Linked DNA regions of Drosophila melanogaster. The protein of the gene in region 1 purifies or fractionates together with the protein of each later gene. This does not show direct contact. Each region holds a gene or a part of one and is shown in the gene's direction. Other genes may lie near its edges.

The links. The genes of interacting proteins can lie anywhere in the genome.
Region 2: the proteins of CG15286 (region 1) and sunz purify together in Drosophila melanogaster (affinity purification with mass spectrometry, with the first as the bait; one large-scale study listed by BioGRID). This does not show direct contact.

Annotation. Positions count from the first base shown.
Region 1 is NT_033779.5:14,335,214-14,341,259, forward strand, and holds CG15286 (uncharacterized protein), read left to right. Parts: upstream 1-3,026; 5' UTR 3,027-3,187; coding exon 3,188-4,723; 3' UTR 4,724-4,867; downstream 4,868-6,046.
Region 2 is NT_033777.3:6,627,467-6,632,814, forward strand, and holds sunz (sungrazer), read left to right. Parts: upstream 1-2,684; 5' UTR 2,685-2,778; coding exon 2,779-3,132; intron 3,133-3,187; coding exon 3,188-3,295; intron 3,296-3,353; coding exon 3,354-3,554; 3' UTR 3,555-3,718; downstream 3,719-5,348. Other genes in the region: sowi (solwind), read right to left, coding at 1-287; CG15177 (uncharacterized protein), read right to left, coding at 942-1,148, 1,199-1,309, 1,365-1,724.

The DNA of each region.
Region 1 (6,046 bases):
ACGCTAGCTCCAAGGCTCAAAAGGATACCAACACGCGAGGATTTAGAACAGGATGTGAGTGAAAAATGGCTTAGGCGCCCGATAATAACAGAACTTTAAAAGCTATATTAGAATATAATTAATATTAAGTTAATTGGGATGATGATTAGCATATGAAGTCTTTGCTATTGCTATAGATTAATTGCTAAAATATGAAAGAACCTTGATACCTAGTATACTTAATGATCCTATTCAACATGACCGCAGTCCTGTAATTATCCCTAAATAACCTTTTGAACTGGGTGCTCTTCTTTTTGTAGCGCTTAAAGCCCAGATAAGCATAATTCGTGCCTTCTTTCTGTCTCTGCGAAACCAAAAAACCCGCAATTCCTGGCGCCACAATGTTACCATTGTAACCACCACCCTGCTCCAATCCTGTCTGCCCGCATTGGCGCCACGTTGGGCGTCCTGTTTGCGTGTCCTGGCCACATTTTCGGAGCTACAAGCGAAAGGACTCATACACACACTCGCACAATAGTTCGTTTTCCAGGCAGCTGGAGTTTCCTAGTTGCCGGTTCTTTGGGCAAAAGTCGAGCTGAGCCCGCACATTCTGATTGTAGTTGTCCGAAGTCACAGCATTTACTGACCTACCAAATGACCCATATTACAAAATGTTCACAGTGCAACGAACTTGTGCTTCACTTATTCACTCACTGCTTCAATTTCTCAATTCAAATGAAAATTTGGCAAGCGAAAATATGACTAACTTCTCTAGCAATTCGTACATATGACGTGTGCAGACAGGTTTTCCTTAGTCGCCCTGATAAGGCTAATACATATTTTTTATGAAATCTTTTTATAAACGCTTATCAGTTTAGTTGAACAGGTGCCTTTTTTGGTTCTAAGTGATAACTCTTAAAAATACTAAAGTTCGTAAGAATGGGAATCCAAAAAACATACATATGTTATCAGCTTAGTTGATTAGAGCTCATTTCAGATCTTCTACAATAAATAAATAAATAAATAAAATAAACTATGAGGAATTGATGATTCGATTTTTATGAAGTGATTATGAGTCACACTTTTAAAAATGCGTTATTGAAACATATTTTTTTTAATTATCAATTATGATTCTTTGACGTTTATCTGTGCATATTTACCCCAATCTAAGGCTACCGAGTATAAAAGTATCATAAAATATTTTAGCGGTTACTAACAATATCTGAAAGTTAGCCTTATCATAGCCGAAATGTTATGTCATGGCGACACACTGATAGTGTTTTAGCTTTAACCTTTTTTTTTTTTGTCCATTTCCATGCGACCTTATCAAAATTCGACACAAATTGTGCTTAGATCGCTTATAATGATTATTCCTTTCGACACAACTAACCTATCTCCAGTTATTAAATATCGCACTTATACAATGCTAAGTGAAATGCTTTTGTTTGTCGCTTCAGCTGCGTAAACATTTACAGATTATATAGCTTGATTTAATTTTTTATTGTACAACTAGTATACACCGCTAGTAGAGATTAGAACACCCACATCAAGGTTGACGACTAAGCGATTTTCCAGCCTCAGAAAGTTCTCATTGAGGGCTGATATTCCAACCTCGCAATGAGTTATTATTGCGCAACAATATTATTACTTCATAAAATAAAATATATGTCAATTGGGTTTCTTCCTTGATTGACTTTCCTTAACAGTTCCAGTTCAATGTATCTTTGATGACACAGTTCCGGTCATTTTCCCTCTTCTGATTACCAACTATTTTTCACCCAATTTCAATCCAAGCCAGCAGGAAAACGTCACCAGTCAGGAAGAGCTTACTTCTATACACAGCAGCACACCCGATTCCCTTTTCCTGGAGCACCCCCATCCACATCGAATCCTTTTGGCAAACTTCCAGGGCGAGTGCAGCATGTGCTCCTTGATACTCTGTGAGCGAAGCCAGAAATAAGGGGTCTACATATCCTTAGAGCATCTCCAGGATGCCTCGGCAAGTGGAGGATGCCTTCTAGTGGATTTGGGAGTAAAAAAAAATCTTTGAATAGCCCCGGTCTTCTGGTAGACATGTGCATTCGTAAATGGATAATAACATAGTTCGTTTTATTTTCCTTTTACTCCACTCTCATCGCGCACTCAAATCATATGCCCGTCGAGGCGAAGCACTTTTCCTTATTGTTTTCCCATGTCACAACTGGAATTTTGTGGCAAGATGGGATTGGGAGTCTTAAAAAAAATGAATTCCCTCCGGCGAAAGAAATTTCGTTTCGCAGCATTTTCCCCTCTTCTTGTGCCTCTCAACTTGTCACTTTTCACATTTTGTTTATTTTTGATGCATCTTTCAGTACTTGAGTTAGTTCTTTTCGGTCTGTTGGCTTGCGTTTTTAGATTGGAAATTTTCCCAGGAGATTTGATATTTATAGAATGTGTACATTCAACTCGAAAAGTACAGCTTAACTCGAGTTTTTTTTATTCACAAATTAAACATTAACTTACAAACTTACGATATCATATTTAACCTGTCGACTAAAGTTAGCAAACTAAAGCTAAACTGAAGGCTTAGGTCAAAGTAGCTTAACTAATTCCCAGGACGACACACAAAAAAGTCATACATTAGTTCCAGGGAGCAATTTATCCAGGTGCAGGACTACGTCAGCTAACTTCATTAGTTACTTGCCACAAGCAATTTGATTCTTGTCCTCTCACTGCCACCCCCTTCCAATTCAACCTCCCCGTGGGCCTTCGCTTGACCCACGCTGACCCGGAAAACTTTTCCCCCAACAATTTCACAAATTGTGTGGAACATGAAAGTTTGTTGCACAAGCACAAAATATATTCGAAACGAGTTCGGCTAACACCTTAATTGGGCGACTGAGTTGGTTTTTAATTAAAAGACTATTTCCATGACACGACGGTGACCCCAGTCCGCTTTGTATCTTAGCTACTAAAGAGAATCAAAACTAAATGTAGTTCCAAAATATAACAAGATTTTTAAAGAGTCCTTCCTAGACTTACACAATTTGTGTGCCTCTAGTCGGCTTGTAAAAATCAGTCGAGCCAGCCAGCTCGAGTTCGCTACCAGTTGTTAGTTAAACTATTTTATTGGATGAAGCTCGTTGGGGATTTGTTAACCTAAAGTGATCGCCGGGCTATTGGCAATCCGATCCTGGTGATCCGATCCTCACCAAGCAGACGCGGAACAATGACGATGAATCGCCACGAGCGTATCGAGTGCAAAGGATGCGGAAAGCGGTCCCTCACCTTCAGGTGCTATCGCTGCCTGAGCTGCCAGGACTTTGATATTTGCGAGGAGTGCTATGACAATGACTTCACCACATCCACGCATCCGTTTGACCATCCGGTGGTATGTGTCCTCATTCCGGCAGATGTGGAACTGTACTTTGGTGGCGAGTACATCAGTAACTATCCGCCGCAGAGCTACCGCTGTCCGTACTGCAAGAGATGGGGCTTCAACGAGTCCACCTTCCTGGAGCATGTATCGGCAATGCATCCGGATGCCAGTCCCCTGCTGGTCTCCACCATGGTCGGTCTCTTCGAGCAGCAGCAGGCGGCACGTCTCTTTCTGGAGAATGAGCAGTTGGCCTCCATTGCCGTGGCCGCCACATCGCGCAACGAACTGATGCGTCGCCCAGAGGGCTCCATGGCCCTCTACTTGGAGCCGCTAAATCGGGATGGAAGCTATCGCAGGGTGGTGGAACGGAATAACGAAGATCGTTCGCGGCGCTTGTCTCCGGATGGCCGTGATCGGCTTCAGGCTCTGGTCAGAGAGCGGTACTCCCGTATTGCACGCCGAAGTGCTGCCAGAGTTGGTAACATGACTTCCAGACCGCTGCTAGCGCCTGCTCCCGGTGACGGCTCCCGCTTGAGTGGGATACAGGAGAGCATAGAGGCAGGCCAGGGAATACGTAATGTCATTGTGGAAGAGCTAAGCACCTCCAACTACGATCCTCCATTCACCATCAATGCCAGTGCCAGTGCCATATTGGAGCAACAGCAGCAGCAGCAGGTGATGGGACCAAGCCCAAATGCCGCCGCTCCACCTATCGTAACACACCCATCGCTGATCGAGATGATGCGCTTCTATGACGAGGCTGGCTTGCAGCCATTTCCAGCTTCATCCCGTCGAGTCATCCGCACCAGGCACGCAAACCCAGCTCAACCGGCGGCCAACATCGGTAACAATACACGGAGCATAAATGTTTACGGACCCACATCCGCTTTTACCCAGGCGTCGCACAATACTCGATCCTTGACCGCCCCCGATCTGTTTTCGCTTGACGAGCGGTATCGTATTAGCAGGATGCCCATGTTCCAGGCAAATCCCGGAGCACTACATCGCCAGGGAACCGGGACGCGCGCTTTGGATACGCGCGCCGTGGAATTCAGTGAATTTCCGCCGGAAGAAACCGAACTGCCCCTCATCCTGGGCACTTCCACGATCGAGGACCCGTCGAAGCTGACCAAGCAGAGGGATCAGGAGCGCAGGCGTTTTCTCTGCTATCGCTTCACAACACCCAGGTCATCTAAGCGTCCCCAGAATCATTTTCTATTGCAACGCGCCGAATTTGTTTCCCAGGTGCTTTACTCCGCCTTGTGCGATGAAGATTTCCAGGATATTTCCTTTCCGATCTTGAGAAACATTCCAAAACTGAGGACCATTCCGGACAACGTCATCTCCGGTGCCGGCGATGCTGAAAAGAATCCATCTAATCCGTAATCCATCAGAAACTGTTTTGTGTACAATTTATAGCAGTTCTTATACCCTTTGTATTCGTTAAATTTCCTGTTCATATCGATGGAACTTTTGGTAACTTGGCTAAAAGGCCAGAAAATTAATAACGTGTTTGCATTCCTTTTTAAGATGGATACAGTTTTTTTTTTGTTTATTTTTATTTAGTTTCGTTTTTATTCAAATTGAAAATTCAAATTGAAAATGCTTTACCATTTCACTTGTCAATTGGACAGCCAGCAGTCGTTATTTTTCAGCTTTTGAATTAGCCAATTCATTTTTTGAGGAGCCGTTTTCTTGACCCCATTAAAAATGTGCCAGTGTAGATAAAAAGAAAGATGATTGCAATCTCAAAGCCTTATAATCTGCAAGATGAAATTGCAACTTTTTAATTGAAAATAATTGGATAATGGAAATTGAACCGCATCTGTGCGAAGCTTTTCTTGTTGAGTGACGTCAAATGAAAATCCCTTTGAGTGTCAAATAGCTCGACTTTTATTCTGTGGCAATCATGAGGGATTTTGGCCAATTTGCGCAGTGCCTTTCATTTATTTGTATTTATTTTAAAGAAATATGATTACAAGCCTGGTAACTTGAGCAGAATTAATAACCTATCTATACACATTTGATAAAAAATGAAAATGTTATAAGTTCATTAATGACGCATTTCGACCCTTCTTCTGTAATTAAGATTTTAAATGATTTTTGAGGGAGCGCCCAGTTTTGTTTGAGCTGTGTACAATGTTTGCCAAAGGAGCGTTTTGAAAAGCACTACATTTTTTGTAGATATATGATAAGAAGACAAACTGCTCGTTTGAGTAATATAATATTTAAGCAAAATTTAAAAAAAAAATAGCCTGATATTTTGGTTTAATATAACCAATGAAACAAACAAATTGAAATCGAATCGATGACCGCTTCCTATGAATCAAAAGATGATTATTGAGGTTTAGATGGCTCATTTAAATATCAGGTTCGTTGGGTTGTAAGTCATTTACGCATTTCCGTATGGGGCAGACAACATTCTAGCCGTGCACTTGACTTTGGCAACCCGCGCCACCCGCTGACCTTCAATGAGGAGGCCTCACAGCAAACCCATGGGAGGGCAAAGGGAACGTGTTAAGCTGCCACTGCCACAAATGCCCTACGAATGTGCCGAACACTTGGGTTTGTTGGGGGGGGGGAAAGCACTCACAGTCATGACATCATCGGGGTCAGGGCACGCAATTGGATTGGGCCAGGGGATTGGGCTTGGAAGTGGGGATAATGGGAATGGGAATGGAAATGGGGAGCACATTAGCTACGAAAATC
Region 2 (5,348 bases), on another chromosome or scaffold:
GGACTGACATATTTCGTATCTTTTGTGATCGCGAGCAGAGTGCGTTCGATCACCTGGACACTGGCCACGTTGAAGAGCACCAAGAAGATCTGATAGAACTGCTTCTTGGTCATCTGCTTGCACTGCGGTCCGTTGGCCTTTGAGAACTTGTAATAAACGACGAGCAAACAGGTGATGTCCGTCTGGGACAACTCCGAAGTTAGGGTTAACTCCTTGATCAAACTCCCGTAGAGCGCTGCAAACCGACTGTTCTCCATGCTATCTATGGTGGCGTCTAGGTTTTCCATAACTAAATTCTTTTTAATGTTTTTTATTTCCTTGTAAAGTTTTTTTTGTTATTTTTTTCCTTATTTTGAAACTTTTTTTTTGTGTGTGTTTTCTTTTTCTAATTTTTTTTTTTTTTTGTGATTTTTGTGTTATGTTCGGGTTGGCAGATGGATTTTGAATAACAATGTTTAAAAACTATTTCGTATAAGTTCAAAGGCTCCTGCGTCGCATTTTTTCGTTTTTGGCTATCGGAATTATATAAGTATCCAAAACGGCTCATAGCGCCGTTACCCATACAGTATTCTTTAAAGTGTGCATATCCACTTGATCAGAGCCCCGTGCAGAATGTGAACAGAGATTTTGGAGAGCTTATGATGCATACGCAGTGTCTGCTAGTTCACATAAAGAGTCGCCCACTCTATCGCCTTATATAAACCAAGTTAACACAAGAACCAATCGCAAGTCCTTTTAAGACAGCTCACGCGAAACATTTTGCTTTATTTTCAAAGTGTTGGTGGAAATTTGATATATCATGCTTATAAAAATGATTAATTTGAAATCATACAAAAATTTTGATCAACTACTTTGGCGGCATCCTTTTGGTCCTCATTCATTGTCGTTTGTCGTTCGATTATTATCACAGTGGGATAATCAAGCTTAATCAAACGACAAGCCTATTTTGCGTCCGGATTACAATAATTGAGCATGGAGTCCATGTTGATAACATGGGCCATAAGATCCCTTTCTTCGTTCGATGGAAATAGCCAGCCCAAGAACTCAACCAAAACGGGTTGTTGTGAAACAACCGAGGAGTAGTCCTCAAACGAAATGACTCCATCCTTGTCTACATCAAACTTCTTCATAATAAATTCAGTCATGTCCTGTGAGGAGTAAATTTATTAAATTATTCTAAATTGATAAGCAAGCTTACCGCTCTGAGCTCAATTAGTTCATCTTCGTCGTCGCCTTCGTGGAAGAATTTCTCGCATGCCACGCCCACCTGCTCGCGATCGATAACTCCGGTGTTCTTGGTGTCATAAACCTAATAAAGAACCCTATTAGAGCCTTCTAGAAATGCTTAACAATCCATTACCCACTTCAAAGGCAAACTTCATACGGCGCTCCAGATCCTCTGTGGTGTACAGCTCAAAGAGATCAACCCAGGCACGGGGACTCACGTACTTGGTATCCTTGGTGATGGCCAGAAGGGAGCGTTCAATCACCTGAACATTGGCCACGTTGAAGAGCACCAAGTAGATCTGGTAGAACTGATTCTTCTTCATCTGTTTGGCGCCAGGTCCGTTGAACCTGACGAACTTGTAGTAAACGCAAAGCAAACAGGTGATGTCCAAGGTGGACATCTTCGAGGTTGCAGCGATCTCCTTAATCAATCCACCGTACAGGGCCGAGAACTTGCTGTTCTCGGTGCTATCGACAGTGGAGTCTAGGTTTTCCATGGTTCAGGGAAGCTCACGGTGATTTACTCTTTACTTTGATTTACTACTGGATATATGATATTGTTTGATTATCGATTAAGGAGTTACAATGATTTAATGGATATGTCTAGTGCAGCTGGCATATGTTTCCTTCGCCTGCTTTTCTGGATTTCAAAAATACAAAATATATGGTTGCCCTCTTTAAGCGTTTTATGAGAATTAAAATGTTTCCAATTTCGCTTCCGCGCCATTTGTCTTGCTTAACAAATTTATGCCGTAAGTCTCTTCCAAACACCGTACGTAAAATATATCAATCAAAAGTCCATACCAAAATCCAGCCCAACTTGCCTGTAAATCCGCCAACACTTGGCGATGTCAACTGTGGAGACATTAAGGAGCGTGAATCCTTGCCGCCCTCTCTCCTTCATCATCCACTCTTATTTTATTGTTATTATGCCGTGTCGAGCTGCTCAGCCGCCTCCTCATTTTTTTTGGTATTTCGGTGGGCGTGGCACGTGTGAGTGTGTGCTTGCGTGAGTGTGTTTCGAAGGGGGCATACAATTATACAACAAAGGGAAGGAGATTCCGAACATTTGTTACCCCAAACAAAATGGCTACACAGCCATTTCCGACGAATTTCCACATGGAAGGCTTTACACCCATCTCAGCGCTTTTGTTTGGATTATTATATTCGCGTTTCTCATGCGCACAGCTTTCAGCTTTTTTCTCAGCCTTTGTGTGTTTCATCAGGCGGGTTTGTTTCAAATATTTATTCGAAATGGGGGACAGATGTAGTCCATGTAGCGTGGCTGATGTATTTTTTATGTCGCGGCGTTGTTTTATCGCTTTTAAATTGCGCCAGTTACATTCCCGGCGAATCCTTAGGCTGCGGCTGCGACTTACCCAATCTATTTGCAATTTGTCTTGCATAACCCTCACCCTTTTAAGCAGGCCAGAGCCTCATAAGTTAGGCATTTTCATCACACACCCGAAACACACGCCCCATTACACAGTACTCTCTTAAAAAACATTTTAAATAATAATTACTTGTTTACCATTGCCATTAAAAAACACAATGAACCGCATCGACCTTACCCTGGACGACATGGCCAACAACAAGTTCCTCACCATGTACAGTACTTTGATCAAGAGCTTCGCTGCCTCCACGGAGTTTTCCACCAACGAAGTGGTCAGCTTGCTGATCGTGTTTTACAAGTACGCCCTGAACAACAGGTCCCGCATGATGTCCACCAGCCAGCTGTACAATCTATTCCTCGTCAGCTTTGGGATCTTCGACGTGACCATCATCGACCGGATTTCGATGAATATCACGCAGGATGGCCGATCAGTCTCTCCAGAAGCCTGGATGCGGCTGTTCTGTGTGTTCTTCAACGGAAGTCTGCAGGAGCGAATGAAGTTCGCATTTGAGGTGGTTGCTCCGAAATCGTGGCTACTCCTTTATTAAATTTCCCCATGGACTACAGGTTTATACAAGCGGTGGTGCTGTGGTTCTGAATCGCGAGGTGGTCGGCGTGGCCATTGAACAATTCTTCACTGGCGATGACGACGACGAGGTCAACGAATTGCGAGCGGTGAGTGTACTGACATTATTGACAATTATGCTTGCATTTCAGCACCGTTTCCGAGCAGGACATGTGCGAGTTCATATTCGGAAAATTCGACACTGACAAGGATGGGGTGATAGCGTTTGAAGAGTACGCCGAAATTGTACAGAATCAGCCTGGATTGCTCGAGTTTTTGGGTAAAATATTCCCGGATGACAAGGACAGATCACTGGTGGCGTACTGCCACAACATTGAGTCTATGTTTCCGCCAGAAGGTTTATATTAAAAGAAAGAAAGGAGGCTGTTCCTTGTGGAAAATTCTTCGTATTTTGCATAATTGTATACATTCTCAGCCTGCTAAGGAAAGCTTTCATAAAATAGCGCAAGTGTTGAAAATTGGCGCTTAGAGGCCTGCAAGCCGGCTTACAATAAAGTCATTTTCCATTAAGTACACACTGGGAAAAGTTGAAATTGCCTCCGCAGACTGCGACTGCCACTGCGGGCTCCACTGTTTTGTTTTTTGTCCCGAAATCTGTGTCTTGTGTTCATGTTCAACTCCTTCCAAATGCTTTTCGATTGTGTGTGGGCGGTGCGGGAACTTTTGTTTGTCTATTTTGCGGCTTTGTAGAGCAATTAAATTTGCGCAACATATGCGGGCACCGGAGGCAAAACAAGAAAAACTCACAGACTCAGCAAAATTCTAATTAAGTTCCCCCAAAAATTATATCTATGGAGGTGGGAGATGAAAGAAAACGAATTTCAAACGTAAGTTTGTTAAAGGGAACCTATGGAAAAATAATAGCAAATTTGGTCCTCGAAAACTGTCGGACTAAAATTGGCTTCGAAAAAATGCATTACTTTGCTTTTGGATTGTTGTTAGCATTAAGCCCATTACATATACGAAATGGGCCAATCGCAAGTTGGTAGATTCAGAATAATTACCAAACATAAAGTAGAAACTATATAACGGATGTGATATCCAAATGCCTTGTTCTCCGCAGAAACCAATCCTGTCAGCTGGAATTTTGTGGCAGTTCTCCGACAGTTGGGCGAATTGTTTAAGAACATTTCTAAGACGAGACACTACAAGTTCTATACTGCGGTTGCCTTCCTCTGACATTGGGCCTGCCACAGATTTCTAACCATCTATCAATTGCTGCGCGTGCGACGGGGCGTATGGGTAACCTCGAAATCGAGAGCGCAGAACTGAAAGTTGGCCATCAAGTTGTGTGTGGGGCAATCAGAGAGATGCCAGAAATCGGATTGCTTGGCACAACAATTTGGTGACCCAGAGTCATTGACACGCCTCGTTTTCGGGGCATTGGCTGGGCATTAAATTCAGCGCGTGACTTTCACCCCAGACTTTTCGTTGCTGGCCCGCCTCAGAAAATTCAGCACGAGCCCGGTCCGGGATAATGAAAAAGGGATCTGAAAAGGCTCAGTAGAAAGCATGAAAAGTGACCGCGACATCCAGCTGGGAGCTGTCCCACTGCTTCTCCGTTTTTTCCTTTTTTCACTGGAGTTCAGAGTTCGTCACGACTTCGCCACTTTGCTGCAAAAGGGTCCTTGGCTTGTTGTCCTTTTTCAGCATTAACACGCGGCCTCCTGTTGCACTTCAGTTAAAATTGCGAGGGCCAACGATCCCTGCTCCTTTTTTTCTTCGCTTTTGTGGCTCGAGTGTGCTCCCACCAAAAAACAATGCCACAGAGCAAAAACGCAAAAGGGCAGCAACAAATTGGGCAAAAACAAACATGCTCCCCACATTTGTATTCCTGAACGATATATCCTGCTGTTATCCTTTCGCGTTCGTCAGTCCATTTATCGCAGCAAAACTTTTGACTGGCAACGGTTTGCTTTCCTCCGCACTTTTTGCCGACTGCAGTAAATCTTGCAATGCAACCGGTTGGCATTTTTATGAAGTTATACCGCAAACTCAGCTGCATTCCGTCCTCCGCCCAGTGCATTAACACATGCCAGATGATGATGTGCATTTTCCAAATGAAATGACCGCTATGAGAGCGTGGGTGAAACCTAAAAAAGGGCCAACTTTTTACAATGGGATTGGTCTTCGACGCTTCGC